Neodiprion lecontei: one gene and its partners. The protein of the gene in region 3 purifies or fractionates together with the protein of the main gene of each other region. This does not show direct contact. Links are inferred from orthologs where the notes say so. Each region holds a gene or a part of one and is shown on either strand. Other genes may lie near its edges.

Evidence for each region. The genes of interacting proteins can lie anywhere in the genome.
Region 1: the proteins of 7SK snRNA methylphosphate capping enzyme bin3 (region 3) and squamous cell carcinoma antigen recognized by T-cells 3 purify together in Homo sapiens (affinity purification with mass spectrometry; 6 studies listed by BioGRID and IntAct, counting the BioPlex papers as one, with this or other methods). This does not show direct contact. The link is inferred for Neodiprion lecontei from reciprocal best matches to the Homo sapiens genes MEPCE and SART3.
Region 2: the proteins of 7SK snRNA methylphosphate capping enzyme bin3 (region 3) and U6 small nuclear RNA (adenine-(43)-N(6))-methyltransferase purify together in Homo sapiens (affinity purification with mass spectrometry; 3 studies listed by BioGRID). This does not show direct contact. The link is inferred for Neodiprion lecontei from reciprocal best matches to the Homo sapiens genes MEPCE and METTL16.

Annotation. Positions count from the first base shown.
Region 1 is NC_060262.1:27,133,170-27,139,575, reverse strand, and holds squamous cell carcinoma antigen recognized by T-cells 3, read left to right. Parts: upstream 1-1,796; 5' UTR 1,797-1,984; coding exon 1,985-2,456; intron 2,457-2,874; coding exon 2,875-3,056; intron 3,057-3,171; coding exon 3,172-4,049; intron 4,050-4,250; coding exon 4,251-4,908; intron 4,909-5,022; coding exon 5,023-5,170; intron 5,171-5,414; coding exon 5,415-5,860; 3' UTR 5,861-5,870; downstream 5,871-6,406. Other genes in the region: uncharacterized protein LOC107219862, read right to left, coding at 6,318-6,382. UniProt on the Homo sapiens protein: U6 snRNP-binding protein that functions as a recycling factor of the splicing machinery. Promotes the initial reassembly of U4 and U6 snRNPs following their ejection from the spliceosome during its maturation.
Region 2 is NC_060264.1:4,387,277-4,393,214, forward strand, and holds U6 small nuclear RNA (adenine-(43)-N(6))-methyltransferase, read left to right. Parts: upstream 1-1,783; 5' UTR 1,784-2,261; intron 2,262-2,268; exon of another isoform or gene 2,269-2,436; 5' UTR 2,437-2,501; coding exon 2,502-2,606; intron 2,607-2,780; coding exon 2,781-3,000; intron 3,001-3,079; coding exon 3,080-3,220; intron 3,221-3,353; coding exon 3,354-3,723; intron 3,724-3,823; coding exon 3,824-4,025; intron 4,026-4,106; coding exon 4,107-4,610; 3' UTR 4,611-5,402; downstream 5,403-5,938. Other genes in the region: switch-associated protein 70, read right to left, coding at 48-171, 383-498, 602-808, 883-1,002, 1,168-1,266. UniProt on the Homo sapiens protein: RNA N6-methyltransferase that methylates adenosine residues at the N(6) position of a subset of RNAs and is involved in S-adenosyl-L-methionine homeostasis by regulating expression of MAT2A transcripts.
Region 3 is NC_060263.1:3,587,155-3,592,851, forward strand, and holds 7SK snRNA methylphosphate capping enzyme bin3, read left to right. Parts: upstream 1-1,891; 5' UTR 1,892-2,065; intron 2,066-2,584; 5' UTR 2,585-2,607; coding exon 2,608-3,533; intron 3,534-3,663; coding exon 3,664-4,054; intron 4,055-4,142; coding exon 4,143-4,361; intron 4,362-4,447; coding exon 4,448-5,008; 3' UTR 5,009-5,188; downstream 5,189-5,697. UniProt on the Homo sapiens protein: S-adenosyl-L-methionine-dependent methyltransferase that adds a methylphosphate cap at the 5'-end of 7SK snRNA (7SK RNA), leading to stabilize it.

The sequences.
Region 1 (6,406 bases), on a different chromosome or scaffold from region 3:
GTATCGAGTAACTCTGAAAGCAGACACATTGGTCCAGTCCTCCCGGTATTATGGGGGGGGGGGGGGTTCCCCGTCTTATTGTCATAAGAACCTGTCTTCTATCCAATTGACGTGTACAAACTGCTCATTTTGTTGGAAATGTTTTTCTGGTCGTTGAAGAAAGAGTTTACGGAAAATCTGGACTTTGGAGATCTAATAATTCATGCCCAAAATTAATTCACATGTTTCATTTGTAAGATGAATGGATAATTATAAAAATCCATCACGAATATGACAGTTTAAAACGTCGTAATTTCATTTCGATTACAAATTCCGGTCTAATGTGAAACAGGTTACAACTGCATATATTTGCCGATATTCTGAAAACAAATTTGTCGTAAAATATGAAAAATTGTACATAAAAAATTCAAGCTGAGTTCGATGTTTACGTCTGATTACTCGATCACCTCGAAACGCGTCGCCGGAAGAGAAAAAAACGCCCCTAAACGCGTCGCGAGGAAAAAGAAGAAGCGTCGTGTTTCGAGGTAATCGGGCAAGCAGATGTAAATATCGAACGCACTATTATTACTCATTATAATGGTCCTGTTTCTTTGTGTTTCCATTTTATAGCTATTCACTATAGTTTAAATCATCCATAATGACGATTTTGTTTATGCATATATTGGTTTCAAGTCGTCACGGATGAGAGTAAATATAGAGAACTTGAACATGCATTGCGACGTAATATCTGCATTGCCCTATGTAGATATATGCGAAAACACAAAAAGAAAAGCTGAAATCGTGCACGTAATCGCGTTTCCTTATTCTTATTGCCTCACACATGACTTCATAGATTACTAGACTAATTGGAGAAGTACCACATTAGAAGTATGCATATGGATATTCATACACATGTGATTATGTGTACAACGGCTGAGACCAACAATTGCTGTTGAACATTCTTTCTGTATAATAATGTAGTAACATAAAGCGTGGGCAACTTCACCGTACGCAAAATACTGTAAATGTGACTCTGGGCTAAGGAGCGTTAAGTCTGACGCACGTTACTTAAAAAAAGTTTAGAAACCGGTCCCCTGACCTTTTTTCTCCTCTGCAAAAGCCGTACCTATATGATCATATGTAAGGGGAATAACACTCAAAGTTTCAATACCAATACGTATGCAGATGTATATTTATTTCGCGTAGAGACAAACGATAGGAAAAGTTTACTATAAATACATACAAAAACTGATATAAAATTTACTCGTGTGTAAGGAAAATTCTTGGTACAAAGTAGATGATTTTTTGTGATGCATTATTGGTTATAGCATCGCATCAGTAAGTCGTGTGTGAGAGCAACAAAAGCTTGTACGAAATTTGCGAAAGCTTCCCTATAATGAAGGAATAGTTGTTCACAATATGTATTACCAACTATCTTACAGCCTGTTTGATTGCTTGGCCTTTACACACAAGGTGCTAAAGAATTATCAGTAATATTTTTTGGATAATTACGAAGGATTGTTTGAATCGTGAGATTGTTGAAAAGCTTTATAAGTTACAAATCGGTATGACAATCCGTCAGGATTATTTAAAATAATGCGGAAGCTTTCTTTCTGTAATTCTATCAGTCCTAATACCGCAATTTCCAAATTTCTGCTGAAAACAAGATCCACTTTGTAATCTCGCTGTGATTTCATTATAATCATTATAATTAAATCTAACTTTCACAATCGTTTTTGAAATAACCCTTCGAAGCGACTTGTGGGTAATCGCGCGGTAATGCGCAATCGACGTCTGCGCAGATGTTACTCATTTATACGTTGTAATTTCGGGATGTATAAAAACATAACCTTCAATGTTTGACACCCTGAGATCCTGACCGTGTCCTAAATGTTATTCTACGAAGCAAATAGAAGATCGGTCATTTTCATAACATTGGATCATTAGCCGTATAGGGTTTGATATCGAAAGACATCGTACATAATACTCGCGTAAATAACTAACAATGGATGAAATGGAGTTGGAACATCCTGGCGAGGACGAGAAAAATGACAGCGATTTCCTTTTGGACTCTGATGGAGAACAGGGTAATAATCTTGATAATTCCAACTACAATATGATAGAAGACGAAGCAGATTTTGAAAAAGAATTAGGAATGGATGACAATGATATTGACGACGACAGCGATTCTGATGACGAAGAGGCTAACGAAGCAGAAATCAAACTCTTGAATGCTAAGCTGGAAGAAAGTCCCTATGATTATTCTAGCCATGTTGCTTTGATAACAAAATTGCAAGAGATGGGCGAGAAATATTCAGATCAACTGAAAAGTGCCAGAGAAGCTATGAGCTCCAAGTATCCTCTTAGCTCTGAACTATGGCTTTCCTGGTTGCGAGATGAAATCGGCTCGGTTAAAACCAGCGCTGAACGAGAGGCGGTCACAAAGTTGTGCGAGCGAGCAGTAAAAGACTATCTTTGTACGTTCCATTTGTTTTTTGTATTTCACCTTTATTATCCTTTAGAATTCCTTTTTCTCCTAAATTTTTCACATTATTCATGTAATCATAAAAGTGCAGAGAACAAAGGCAATTGTTTCATTCATACCGTAGGCACTGTTCACATTATCCTGTCACAATCTATAGAACACACAAATTTTTTTGCAATGGCTAGGTGCATTACAACTTTTTTGCTCTTTTATTTATAGTTTTTTTTTTTTATAAGGGAAAAATCAACTCTTTGAACAACCTGTAATTGTTGAAAAAATATTTTCTATTTAGATTATAATGAAATTGTAAGAATATATGAAAACTTGTGTAGCTCAATCGAAAACTAACTAATTTTCATTATAGATGAGAGACATAATATGTCATGATCCAATATTTCAATTTATTACAGCTGTGGAAGTTTGGTTGGAATATCTTCAGTTCGCTATAGGAAGTTTGGGTACTGCTACTGACGCTGCTACAGATATTAGAAATTTGTTTGAACAGGGATTAACCTGCGTTGGCTTGCACGTTACCAAAGGCGCGATCATATGGGAAGCATTTAGAGAATTTGAAAATGTGTTAGTTTTAATGGTAAGACTATCATCAAACACAATAATCAAAATCTATCAATACTTTTAATTTAAATCAAATTTTGTAGCATGATTATTATTTCACAACAAGTCTGAACAATCATTTATATTTTCAGATCGACGCATCTAACGAGTCGGAGCGCAAAGAACAGATAAATCGCGTTGGCTCTTTATTCAGACGTCAGTTAACATGTCCTCTACTTGACATGGAGAAAACGTATGAAGAATATGAAGTGTGGCGCGCTGGCGACGGAACACAAGCAACCCTAGACGACAATGTTGTTTTAACTGGCTATGAACGAGCGTTCGCAAAACTGAACTTGCGTTTACCTTTTGAAGAAAAACTTATTTCAGCTCAAGGTGAGCCTGAATTATTAGATGCCTTTAAAGCATATCTACGTTTTGAAAAACAACACGGAGATCCAGCACGTGTCAATATACTTTACGAACGAGCCATAGCTGAGCTTAGTTTGGAAGGTTCGCTGTGGCTGGAATATATTACATACATGGAAAATAATATAAAAATCCAATCCATTTTGGAACCACTGTACGAAAGAGCTACTAGAAATGTACCATGGTACGTAGTAATTTGGCAAAAATGGTTAAGAGCCTATGAAAGATGGGATAAACCATTAACCGAAGTGCAGGCATTACTGGAGAAAGGTTTAATGGCTGGTTTCACATCTGCTGAAGAATATCGCAGTATGTGGCTGACTTACCTTGAGTATCTACGTCGCAGGATTGATCTATTCCCAGATGACAAGAAAAAACTCTTGGAAATTATCAGAGAAACATTCAATCGCGCTTGTGAATATTTGGCAAAAGCATTCGGTCTGGAGGGCGATCCCGGATGTGTGGTATTGCAGTACTGGGCCAGAACCGAAGCAATTCATGCAAATGACATGGAAAAGGCTAGAACCTTGTGGGCTGATATACTCTCTCAAGGACATTCCACAGCTGCTGCCAGTTGGTTGGAATATATTGGTTTGGAAAGGTACTTAATGATTTGATAAGTAATATATCATATTTCAAAACTCTTTACGGGAACATCTAGAAGATCTAGAACGTCATTATCTCAGATGCGATTAAAAATAATAGTCCAGCTTATACCAAGTATACAAAAGTTACTGTATTCAATTTGTTCTAAAATGTAATCTAAAATAATCAATGATTCCATTTTTATTCAATGTTCCAGGTGTTACGGAGATACAAAGCATCTTCGTAAATTGTACCAAAAAGCACTGGGATCTGTCAAAGATTGGCCAGAGAGCATAATCAATGCTTGGTTAGATTTTGAGCGGGATGAAGGGACATTGGAACAGTTAGAATCCTGTGAGGCGAAAACAAAAGAGAAATTAGAAATGGTTGTCGAAGAGCGAAAGAAGGTGCAAGCTGCTGCTTTGCCACATGAAGTTACGTCTGCACCAGCCAAACGGGCAGGCAAAAGAAAACCTGAAGATACAGGTAGATGGAAAAACTTGCAAGGATCTCCGAATAAGCAAGGAAAGTTTGAAGCAACTACGAGGCCAAAGCTGAAGGAAAGCGTTCTAAGTGTGGAGAATAAAATAACACCACCACCTGGCTATAAGCCATCCAAAGACGAATCCAGCACCAAGCCGAAACTTGCACCACCGCCAGGATATAAGTCAAAAGAAGTTGAAAAGATGGATGAAGATAACTCGCGCACCGTTGATGAGAGAATAACCGTTTTTGTTAGCAACTTGGACTACAATGCAACGGAAGATGAAGTAAGAAACGCCTTAGAACCTGCAGGACCAATTACTCTTTTTAAAATGGTACAAGATTTCAAAGGTCGCAGTAAAGGGTTCTGTTACGTGCAGCTTAGCAGTGCAGTGAGTATTTAATTCATTACCTGCACGATAGGTTGACAAAGATGACCTAATTTTCATACATGATGAAAGTAAAACTACTGGTCAAAAATTTGCAGTCATAATTTTTTGTTACAGGATAGTGTTGAATTGGCACTTAAGTTAGATAGAACACCAATTAACGGCCGACCCATGTTTGTTTCTCGATGCGATCCTGATAAAACAACCAGAGGACCAGCATTCAAGTATAGCTGTGGATTGGAAAAGAACAAACTCTTTGTAAAAGGTAACATGTTACTGTCAACTCTTGTCTTCCCAATTTAGAAGTCTTAAAGTCAACAGATTGTGTTGTGAAAAAGAAAGTCAAGTTGCATACATTTCTTGGAAACCCATCACGTTTCTGCTGAAATTGAAAATTACGGAAAAGGTGGAACAAAATATGTTAAGTCGCATTATGAAATATGTTCAAAATGTATTTTTCGAACATTTGCTTATGGAACAGCAATTACCTCAACTTCTTTTACCCAAAGGTCTTCCTTTGACGATGACAAAGGAGCAAATTGAAGAACTCTTCGGTGCTCATGGTATCCTAAAGGAAGTTCGCCTTGTAACGTATCGCAATGGGCACTCTAAAGGTATTGCTTACATTGATTTTAAAAGCGAAGTTGACGCGAGCAAAGCACTGATAGCTACTGATGGAATGACCATAGAAGACAAAGTAATCAGTGTTGCTGTCAGTCAGCCTCCTGAACGCAAAAAGGGATCGATCAATGACGTTAGTCTTATTAAATCTCTTGGTGGAACAACCACAAGCCGAACTGGTTCCAATGCGCCAAAAACTATGCTTTCTATGATACCACGCAGTGTGAAACCTCTGTCTAAAAATGGCGATGCAGGAATATCAGGTAACGTTGTTGGCAAGGAATCACTGAGTAATGCAGATTTTAGAAATCTGCTACTTAAGAATAAAAAATAATTTGACGCGATGCGCTGCTGCAGTTATTTTGAACCTTCTCGTCAAGAATCTGTCCCTTGAAGTGTTGATATTATATTCTTAACATTTCAGTGATTACAATCATCATAGCGTGAGAAAAAGATAAAAATTATAATTAACGGGACTTGTTTACACAAGGTGGCGTCGATCAAAATCCACGAAAGCATGTGGCTATGTCTAACAGTTTTGCTAGTCTATGCATATAAATATTTATTATATTCACAGGCTCGTGCCTGTCGGTTTTTTACAGTTTTTAATGCTATCTGATAAACTAAAAATCATGCACCAAGTGAGGAAACATCCATCGCCTAAAATTCCCGTCGATATTATGATGTTTTCAAGTAAAGGTAACTCATTATAAGATGCTGAATGTTCTTTAGTAGCAGAAATCTCAGTTGACCTCGCAGATATAAATTGAGGGAAAAGTGAAGATTGATTATTAGTTACTAATTGAAATGTCCGCACAAGCCCTAAATTCTTCCTGCGGACCACAGCCGAGAGCCCCTGTAACGAAAGTATTCTTTTAGT
Region 2 (5,938 bases), on a different chromosome or scaffold from region 3:
CTGAAAGATTGATATTTCAGAACTTGATCGCCTTAGCGGTGCCTCACTTTTTTGATGACGTCATTAACATAGATCTGGTAAAGGTCATCTATAGCCTCAGCTACAGCAGCTGTGTCCAAAGTTCCTCCACCGCTGTACTTGGACTCCAACACTGCCAGAAATGTGGGGAATCTTTTTGGAAATACGTTTAACTAAATGCTACATGGATAAGACAAGGAGATCCTGCTGCTTTCAGTCTGAAAGTCTTTCAACTTTAGGTACAGTGATTTTTTACGATAACTAAAACCAAGATAAATGTGAACAAGTATTTCTGCATTTGATTCAGAACACAACTTCGTTTATGAAACGCATAACATGCAGACATTTGCAAAAGAGGAATTACCTGAATGCAGTCAACGCTGCAGATAATTCGGCAAAGTCTGACGAGTCCCAATGAAGACCCAATGATGTCACGAGTTGGGAAGATATTTGAGCTACCTCGTTGCTGTGCATGGTTATCTATTACGAGTAAAAAAACCTCAGATTAAAAAGTGTTAAGGGTTTTAGAATAAGATCTGATTGTTTGGAAAGTAAGGGAGTAGAATTTTTTACGATGACTTACGAGATACGATGACTCTGCGTTATGTGTTCCCATCTCTGCTAAAAGACAGAATATTCTGAAGAGTTGATAAATGCTGCGATCTTCAAAGACTCTGTGTTTCTGATCTGCGTACGCTTTTCGAGAAACAAGCCAGCATATCTCCTCGATGCGTTCTTCAAGAAGTCTGCAGGTTTGCATTGGTGTTGCATCAGAAATAGAGGCAAAGACCTGAGATGGATAAAATGACTGTACCGACAAATGATGACGATAATAATAAGAATAAGTATAGTGACAAAACTTACTTCATTCTGTAAGTAATATAAAAATTGATCGAACGTCAGCCACTGGGTGCTTCGGTAATCATCGAGCCCCTTCTCAACCCCATACAGATCCATCAAGGTTCCAAAGTTGGCTGTCAACACCTGAAGTGACATGTGAAAGTGTCGTGAAAAAAGCCACACCCTCAAACATAAAGTTCTAAGAAACTTCACGGTTAAGTAAACAGCTTCAGCATTATAATATTTACTAATCACGTCATACGGCGTGCGTTTGTCAACATTGTGAGATACGCTCGAATTCATACGCACCTTTAATTTAGATTTCGCAACGATACCCGGGGTGTCACCTTGCAGAGCGTAAAACGCATGCCAGATGCTGTTTGTCAAGTTTTTCAACAAATACGCCATAGTTTATCGGTAGCGCTGATTCAACAGGTAGCTTGGAAGAATCACATCCTCGCCTAACAATAAGACCGAATGGGACTTGGTAAAACTGCAGAGGAATAATGACTGGCTGACTGGTGACTCGACACTACTCCTTGCTTTATCTGAATTCCAACCTTCTCCCTTCGCATACATACAAGCCCACATATTACGCACGAATATGGGTATGATATTCGCTACCACTGTCGGCTCGCGCCGAAGCCTATCGTGGGATTGTGATACGTTCGCCTCTGCGGAAGAGAATGAAACTAGGATTGTTGAATCAAGTCAACTAGCGGCTGTAATCAAGAATGACCATAGTACGCATGTAGTACACACACACACACACACACACATACGCATATCGTACTTTGGCACGCACCATAGCACGCATTATCAGGTGGTACAAATGCGGTATTGTGATTGGTGAGATGCGCGATGAATGAAGGAGTGGGCAAGACAGCTAAATTCTCAGTTTCTGAGCTCTCATCAAAAATTAAATGATGGCTCCATTACATTCCATTATTTTGCCATCATTTCATTTGAGGAGAGTCAGTACTAATTAGCCTTTAAATTCTGAAAATTGATCATACAGCCGAAATAAAATTGCAGGCACCGGCATCGGTGGCCATCTTGTATCTTGTGTTTGAATTCGTCTGGTTTTAATGTTTTGAAAACATTTTTTACTTAATTTAAAGCTAAATTTTCATCTGGCTTGCGTTACTTCAGGGCGGACCAAGACGAAAAAAGTTGATTTTGAAATACACTATTGAAGAATACATGTTCATTGTCAGGAATTTGTCACGAGTGCGACTCGAAATTCGTTCGTACCTCGGCAGCTGCGTATTTGTGTTTGTGCTGTCGGCTTTAAATGGCTTCAGTAAGAAAGTATGGAATCTGAGTCCATATAAAGACAAAACGCAGGATTATAAGGCATACGAAGACCTGTGGAAGCGAGGAATGTGTCACGGACCTACTAGGTAACAGTTCAGTGTTAATCGTCAGTTTTCCCGTACACAACAAGTCAAGAGTCTAATCGAATTTTTACACTAGTTTTTTTTCAATCATTCAAGCGAAGCCGGTAGTCGAGAAGCACGTCACTGTATGTCTTGCGAATTTTAAACCTTGTGTAATGGCTTGTTTCAAAACCTGCAGCGTGCGGAATCACATGTCAGGAAACGTTGATATAACCTATAAATCCAGTTGCGTCGAACAAAAAAATGTCTTTGCGACGGTTCATGCATCCGAGGAACAAGTACAAGCAGGAGCCAAATTTCAAGCAACTAGCCATACTTTATCCGGAGTTTCGTAAAATTGCGACAACGGTAAAAACAGTATATCACATTGAAACATCACAGTGCTCGCATGTGCCTATGACATGTCTAATCACTCGATTCCCGCAAGACACTACACACGCGATCGATTATTTTCTGTTGCACCTGATTCCTCAGTTTGAATTCGCATTTCTGTTATGTTGCATAGATTTTATTACATTTCAGGATCTCGCGGGAAAGGTGCGGATTAATTTCCATGATCTAGAAACCTTGAGAATACTGACCAAAACCCTTCTAAAACATGATTATGATTTGAACGTAGATCTACCAGCCACAAAGCTGGTCCCAGCCGTACCTCTGCGTTTGAATTACGTACTCTGGATAGAGGATTTAGCAAAGCACGCCGGTATTACAGACATGTCTTTGATTTCTGGCATTGACATAGGTATAATTGATTCACCTGAAATTGAGTTTCAATTTTATGTAGTGCTGTTGATATACTTTTAATTTAACTCTCTTCAAAGGCACTGGAGCGGTGTGCGTCTATCCATTGTTATTTGCAAAGATCTATGGATGTAGAATGATCGGCACGGAAGTTGATTTGGAAAGTTACGAGTCTGCGGTGCGTAATGTAAATAGCAACAACTTGCATGACCTCGTTGAAGGTAAGTAGAGTCTAAATGGCTCAACGCTGTTACTGTAACAATAATTCCCATCATGCTCTGTAATTGTTAATGATTTTTCTAGCTACAGATTCCTTCTTTAAATGAATATAAAACTCTTTGTCTATCTCATCAGTGATACGTGTAAACAGAGGTACGGTACTCAGAGGGTCAGTACCTGAGAACAATGTATATACATTCACAATGTGCAATCCGCCATTCTTTTGTGCCGAAGAGGACACGGCCACTGGATCAAAACCTTCAGGTTCCCGAATGCCCCCGCGAAACGCACCATCTGGGAGCGAAGCTGAATTGGTCGTAGAAGGCGGGGAAATACAATTTGTTTTGAAAATGTTGAACGATAGTGTCGAGCTGAACAATAAAATAAAGATCTATACAACTATGCTTGGTAAAAAGACTAGTCTTACATTTTTGTGCAATGAATTCAAGAAACGAAATATCGAAAACTCTACATGGACTGAATTTTGTCAGGGTCATACAACTAGGTAAAGCAATTACATGTGTTAAATTATCAAAGTTCTTGGTTAAGATGTCAATTTTTAGAATACAATATCATGACATAAATTATCAAATTTATTTTATTAGATGGGGTCTAGCTTGGACTTTTCTGTCAAAAGATGTGCTGGACTTGACAACTGCACCAGTCATAAGAATTAGCGGATGCAGCAAAAAATTAAAACAGAAAGCTAAACGACCTCCGTCAGAAATAACTTTCCCTGTAAGAGATGGCATGACAGAGACTAAGGAATTAGTTTTAATACTGAGACTTTTATTCAATGAGTTGAAGGTAACGAGATCATGTATCTTTCTTTTAATGTTGGCAAACAAATTAACTGGTAGATATTGACACTAAAATTGTATTGAACAGATCCGAGTTGAAGAATTACATGTGAATCCGCAAGAATCGAGTTATTGGTGTTGCCAATTGATGGCTGATGAGGACACATGGTCACATGGACGCAGAAAGCGTCGAATGATGGCTAATCAAAGTTTACCATCTAAAAGGCCTTGCCCAGATATATTTTCTGAGAATGATTCTGAGAAACAAGAAGCCTTGGATGCATCTTTCGGAGATGATTCTGAAAGAGAAGAAAAGACTACAGCGTTGCCAAATGGTGTGAATACTCAGCCCGTCAAAGGATCGTTTTTAATTTGCGATTTGGTTGTGGGGGAGATCGAACCTAATGATAACGAAAAGAAATTGAAAATATCAATGATATTTGAAAGTGGTTCTGGAGGTAGAAATGCATTGGAAACGTTACGACAGTATTTTATAAATAAGTTAAACGTAAGGGAGTTCATAAAAGCTCAAAGTTCAGTTAAAAATAAACAAAGAAAGCGACGAGTCAAACTGAAAAAGGATAAGACGTAAGATCGTTTAACGTATCAATGAGTTTTGAAGATATGACAGAACCATTGTAATTATTACATGGATACTGTGAACGGACATAATAAAACTTAAGTTATTAGTTTGTAACGAACGTAGTTGCTTGTCTGCCCTGCTATCTGATCTATTCGTAACTACTATTCTACTAAAAAAAATAAAAAAAAATTTTGTAGATTAGTATTCGTAAATACTAATCTACAAAAAAAACAACATCAAATGTGTAGTAGAATGTGAGAAATTTATTGATTATTTCAAACAAACATTAAAAAATGTTGTATTCATTTTGCTCATATTTCAACGAGCGAGAGCAAACACGCATTTCATATAAAATGGTTTTATTCACGTGATGATTTTTACCAAATTACATAACAGATAATATATGTATATCAGGTATTTAATGTTTATCCTTACCGACTAACAGTTTTTATCATTGTTCAATCTTCCTAACGAGTGCGAGAATAATATTACACTAGATACTAAGAGAAAAAAAAAAAAAAAAACCAACAAAAACAAATTAACGAGTGAAGAAAGTTTCTTCTCATTTTGGCATTATTCTGACGAAAAACATAATTACCTCAATTTTTTATGTTTTGCTAACCCAGTACTTGTATTACTTCAAATATTAAAGTAGTGATATTACAAACTGCTGTATACGATTCATTTTCGTAATTTTCACGACGCAATTGATTATTTGATGTTAGTTCAAGACGGATGATTTAAACGCGTATTTTACATTCACTTTGACGTTCAATTTTATGGAGATACTTGTCGAATGATTTGTATAATGAAAAAATGACCAGTTTTCAATTCAAATTCAGAAAAAATTTGAAAAGCTCAAGAATGATATAACTAAGTAATTGCTAATTAGTGGCATGCTCTAGGAGAGCTTTGTAGTATTTCCAAACAATGCAACTTCCCTTTATTTTATTCATGATTATCAACAAACGAAAAGTCAAACGATATAGTAGTACAGTAATGAACCACAGCATTAAAAGTTCTACGATTACCACATGACTTGAAATCGAATATGTATATTTCAATTTATACGAGTATGCTACTTAGTCATATATTGTAGTTACATTTATACGTAATATTTGATATTCGAAGACTTCATGCTACATTATTTGATTACTCTAAAAATCACCACTTCTCATCTCGCTTGTCTCAAAGTTCTTATCTTTTTATTATTGCAATAAGCTTTGAAATACGGTATCTAAAACGCCGTAGCTAAAATTAATGATTGCAAAATAATGTCTACGACTGCAAAAGATGTATTGACGTAGTTATTTAGTTATGTTCTCACATTCATCAAT
Region 3 (5,697 bases):
ATAATAGGGAGTGCAGCCGATATACACTAGTTATCAATTATATTATACTATATTATTTAACAATAAACAATCGATCACGGACTATGTACGAATAAATTAACTATATTCTGAAGTGAGTGAATTCTCCCGGCTTCGACGGATTGGTCAATTCTTCCCGGTTACCTTGGCACGTGCCGCTTCGATCATAATTCTTGAAGGAATAGCTCCAGCATAGGTCTTTTCTAGTTTCCTGATCATTTTCCGCCGCTAGATCCGCTTTGTTTTCCTTATCATACGTCAAATCGTTCTTCAGTACGTTTCCTGCTTTGTTACGGTTCTTCTTTTTATATCCCTGACCCATTCCAGCAGCGAAGCTCTGCCGAATCACTGTGGAAAGGTTTGCTTCGTCTGTAGGGATGTTGAGAATTTTTCTCGGCATCACGGCACCGTCTATTAATTTTCCCCGCGTATATTTGTCCTGGTTTTGAACCGACTTCTTCGGCGTAACGAGGTAGTAATTCTCCTCGTTCTCCCTGTCGCTGTAGTAAACAAGCTTCTTTGGCCTCAACACCTTCTTGTCGAATTCCTTGCGAGACTTGATCGGTGCTCCTGGCGTCGAGGCGCATCTTTCCTGAATATTCGGTGGCGTGGCTCGACCATTTTCATTCACATCCTCGTCATCCTCGCAATCCTCGTAGACCAAAACCCTGGCTGCAGGGTTCGTCCGCTGGTTGTTCACCTTGATGTCGAATCGTTGTTGATTAGTACTTGATACCTGAAATAATATTGCGCATTGGTTACAAATCATTATCTGCGTAAACGAATTAAAGAATGATAATCACAATGTGACTGCGTTTCTCACCTTGATACTTTTTTTCTCGACCTCGGTGAAGTCGTGAAAGACGCTGGTAACCGTATCGAAACATTTCAATTCTTTCGAAATTATTTTACCCTGTATTTTACGATCACTTCCTATCATTTCGACTCCGTTCTTCGCTGGTTCGGAATTGAATATCAACGCTCTCGCTGCCTTCTTCTTCCTTTCCGCCATTTTATTTTGTACTTTTTCACATTGGGCGTACAATAAGCTCTTCAACGCATAATGTCATGGAGATATACATAATTCATCCGAAGATAGATTCATATCTGTATACTTACTTCGTTATCCGAAATCTCCGAAATGTGAAGCTGGTATGCAAACGTAACGAAACAAAAAAATCTCGCGAGTGACGATTAAAAATTTTAAACCGTCATTATCGCGGCTCTCTTCACATCGTCCCTTTTATCACGAGTAAATCACGCATTGGCCTTGCCAATGATTAATATCTGAGACTCAGACAAATGGGAAATGCTAATTATTACTGAATCGTCAATCACCACTGAGTAAAAAGAAAATGATAATCGGTATTGTAATAAATACGAGTCCGTGGTACCAACAATTTTTTTCAGATATTTTTTTTTTTCCACGTTCCTCTTTCGAGACAACGGGACAACAATTCAGAAATTAACGCAAGCTACCAGTTCTTTAATTACTTCTCATCACGTATACGGAAATGATCAGGACTTACCTTAAGTAAGCAGATTGTAAGGTGAGAACAGGCCTGAGTTGGAAATGATAAGAACGAAACGGAATTAAGGTAACGAGTGCCAAAAGATCGGATGACTCGCAAGTGAGTTCGCAGAACATAATCCGAAGTGAATATCTGTTTGAAAAACAATTGAACAGCAGCCGCGGAAGATTACAAATATCCGGCCAATCAGATCACCGTATACAGCGGCAAGGGCCAATGGCCAAGCTGCTTCAACGCTGGGCGGGAAACCGCGAAATACCGCTCCTTTTTTTTCGTGTTGCGCAATGTCGCCCGAAGTTAACCGAAGTCGGTTCGGCTCGGCAGGCAGCAGCCCACATGGAAAATGGAGATTGAACAGAGTGAGCAAAGGAGGCATTCGCCATCGTTGATGGTTGTATGGCAGGCGTCGTGAAACGGGCGGGTCGCTGCAGCGAAGAATAGAGCGTATTTGTGTGCTTAATGACTGTCGAAAGTGGACCGAATCGAGGAAGAAAATAGCCGCGAGCAGTTGAGAGGTAATGTTTAACGGGCTATTAGCCACAAAATTGTCAAAACATTATATTAAATTGCAGACTTCACGGGAGCTGAACCATTATCGGGGCACGTAAACTACCCATTGCGCATGCGCCGTTGCGGGAATGATAAATTTACGCGCAATACGTTTGGCTAACGTTTAATTATTCGACTGGATATATTTCCACCTCACATACCTGTCATTCCGAATTTTCCTCGAATTTTCATGCATCAATTCACCCGCCGTATCCTCCCATCTCTAAGACCCAATCTCTTTGTCATTTTAACTGATATTAAACAATTAACACCAGTCGTACTTAAAACCTTATATTTTACTAATTAATTAAAATAAGAACGTCCTGTTGTTCAATTTCACACATTATTTTATCCATGCCACATTTATATCTATACGAGTCGACTGCTTGCCTAGTGCATTCGTGCCTTTTGTTCTGATTCAAGTATTCAGCATCAGGCGCAAATACAATTTCTAACAAATTTTATATTTAATTTTTTTATTTCAGTCCAGTGAATCAGAATTAGCGAAATGTCATCAGCTCAACTTGATCGTCAAATGAGGATGGGGAGTGTGAAAGAAAGGAAGGAGAACGAGAAGGGTAAAAAATCTGTCAACCTGGTTTACAAGAAGCACAAGCACGAGGAAAGTCGTCATTTTAAGTTCAGCAGAAAACGTTCGCAGAGTTTTACAGGGAATGGAAAATTTTTCCCACCTCATAAACGGCGTAAGAAAGACGGAGGTATTATTCCGCCGACAAAGTTTTTGCTCGGCGGTAACATCTGCGATCCGTTGAATCTGAACAGCATGCAAGACGAGGAGATAAACAGAGCGATGAATGCAGTTACTCCGAAGTCGAGTCCTCTGCCGACGCCGAAACATAGGAAAGGCGCCATCGAAGTTATCATTCCGCCTAACATATGCGACCCTCTGAATCTGAACAATTGTAATGACGATGATGAGTACGAGAAACATCTAATTTCCCCCACAAAAAAGGGCTCCAAGAGACGAAACAGAAAACGCAAACGCGCATCGTCCAGCTCTGGAAGGGACGATGCTATTGAACCAGCTTCGGAAGCAAAGAACAGCGAAAAGGAATCGGTAGAAAATGCCGAACCTGTGCCTGCTGGCGTTGAAGAGAAGGTCGAAATTAAGCTTGCCCCTGCACCTCTGAGTTCTCCGCCTAGTAATCCTCCAGTAGTGGAAACTAAACCAGAAACTACTAGTCCTCAGAAAGATAAGAACAAGTTACGCCTCAAGGGGCTCGACGATCTGAAAGACAAACGACTGCGTAAGGTGGACGTTAAGGATAAAATTGTCAGTCCTGTTATCCCACAACCTGGGGCTTGGAAACCGAGACCGCAGCATCGTGCTAGTCAAGACAAAAAGAAAAAGGCACAAAAATTGCCCAACTTTAGAGCCAAGGATGCGCAGTATCAATACGGCAACTATAACAGGTATTTGTTTAATTAAGTAAAGTTATAATTCTCTTAGTATTAAACATTTTTCAAATATCTACTTTTTTGAGTTTATTACAAAATGATTAAAGAATCAAGGACTCATTTGGTAAATTAATTTTATTTCTAGGTATTACGGATATCGAAATGCCCATGCCGAAGAAGATGGAAGACTCGGCGTGTTCGCCAGAAGAAAAGAGTTATTCTACGGGAAGGACGTGCTGGACATAGGATGCAACATTGGACACATTACATTGTCGATCGCCCGTGATTTTGCCGCACGTAGCGTGACTGGAATAGACATCGACAGGAAGCTGATTAACATAGCGAGGAAGAATGTCAAGCATTATGTGAACTGTGTCAGATCACCGGCGACTCACGAAGACGGAGGGAAAGGAAAAGACTGCGACGCGAGCTTTTATCCCCTATCGATGCCAATCAGCTACGGACTTATCGATATACCTGGTTTTACAAAGAACAAAAGTCAAAAAGGCTTCCCATACAACGTCACCTTTGTACAGGTAAGCAGCGATTTCATTTACATCTGCAAAAACTCGCTGTCATTCCAAAAAAGCGTCCTGTAACGATTTTTTCTCTACCATTTTTCAGGGTAACTATATATTGGAAGACGACGCGCTGCTGGCTTCGGAACAGCCGCAGTTCGACGCTATATTATGCCTGTCAATAACAAAGTGGCTGCACTTAAATTTCGGCGACTTGGGACTGCAGAGAGCTTTCAAAAGAATGCACGCCCAGCTGAGACCCGGCGGTGTACTTGTACTCGAGCCTCAGAGTTGGGGCAGCTATGGAAAGAAGAAGAATCTCACTGTAAGTAATCGTGATCGTTATATCTGGACGGCGCAGTTTTTTCGTTATTAAGAAAATTGATCATATACTTCTGGTTATGCTTTCAGGAACGGATATACAAGAATTATCACAGCATCGAGTTCTTACCGCACAAGTTTACACAGTATTTGCTGTCACCGGAGGTCGGTTTCAGTAAATGCGAGGTAGTTTCCATACCGCCACATCCTTCCAAGGGCTTCCAGCGGCCGATTCAGCTTTTTACAAAGGCACCCCTGACTCCCGAGACCGCAGGTGAACCGACACCAAGCTCGATGGCGCAAAGTGAACGCAGAGATTTTGAAAGGGATTTATTTCCAAAGGATTCTAAGAAGGAGGGAGGGAACATGTCGGAGATGAGTCAAATCAGCACGGAGTCACTCAGCCAATATGAGCAGTTAGAAAATGTTTACGCGCCCAGCGCCACACCCTGCTACGATACCCCGTGCCACACAAACGATAGTCAGCCGATAGAGCCTAAGACGATGTGTTACATTGATATGGATATAGAGAATGCGGAGAGCGCTGCTGCTGGTGCTGCTGCTAGTGCTGCTGCAAGTGCGGCAGTCGGTGGCAGAGGTGAGAAAACAGACATCGGTAACGATAACAAGCAGCAGTCAAAAGGCAGATGATAAGAAATTTGAAGAACTGTCGATGATAATCACTACGAGTAAATTAACCGAGTATCAACTAAAGCGGATAAAAATTCGACTGCAGAACGAGAGGGTGATATTTGAGAGTAGAGAAGGAATGAAAAAAAAAAAAAAAGATACCTACTTGTGATAAATGATGGACACGATTGAAGCGGATAATTGATACTTTGTTGCCAAAGTTCAACTCGAAACCACAAGAAAAATAAAGATATTGACAAATACCAGTGACGACAATCGCGAATGTCATAGCCTAGCTACATAGCGTTCTAAAAAATGTATTTCTGATCAACGAGATGGAGGATAATGTACTTCTCTTGGGCTCGACGGACAAGAAGAAGAAGAAAACGAAGGAGACGAAGAGGTGAAAAATAAAAAGAAGTATATGAATTTGAGCGGAAGTATAAATGCGGCAAAGTGCGGTAAAGCAATAGGTAATAATATCGATAAAAGACGATGCAAAACACTGTCAAGAGTGACGAACCAAACCACTATGAGCGTAAAACAATTCTGCGATCGTTAACAATATGCGAGAAGAAACAGAGATCGATTGTATAAATATGTACGTAAATCTAAGGTAGAGCAATAGCTATGAGAAAGTAGACGAAAGAGACTGGAGAATAGATGAAACGAGTAAAGTGACGAGCAAAAGAGAAGGGAATTAATAGAAA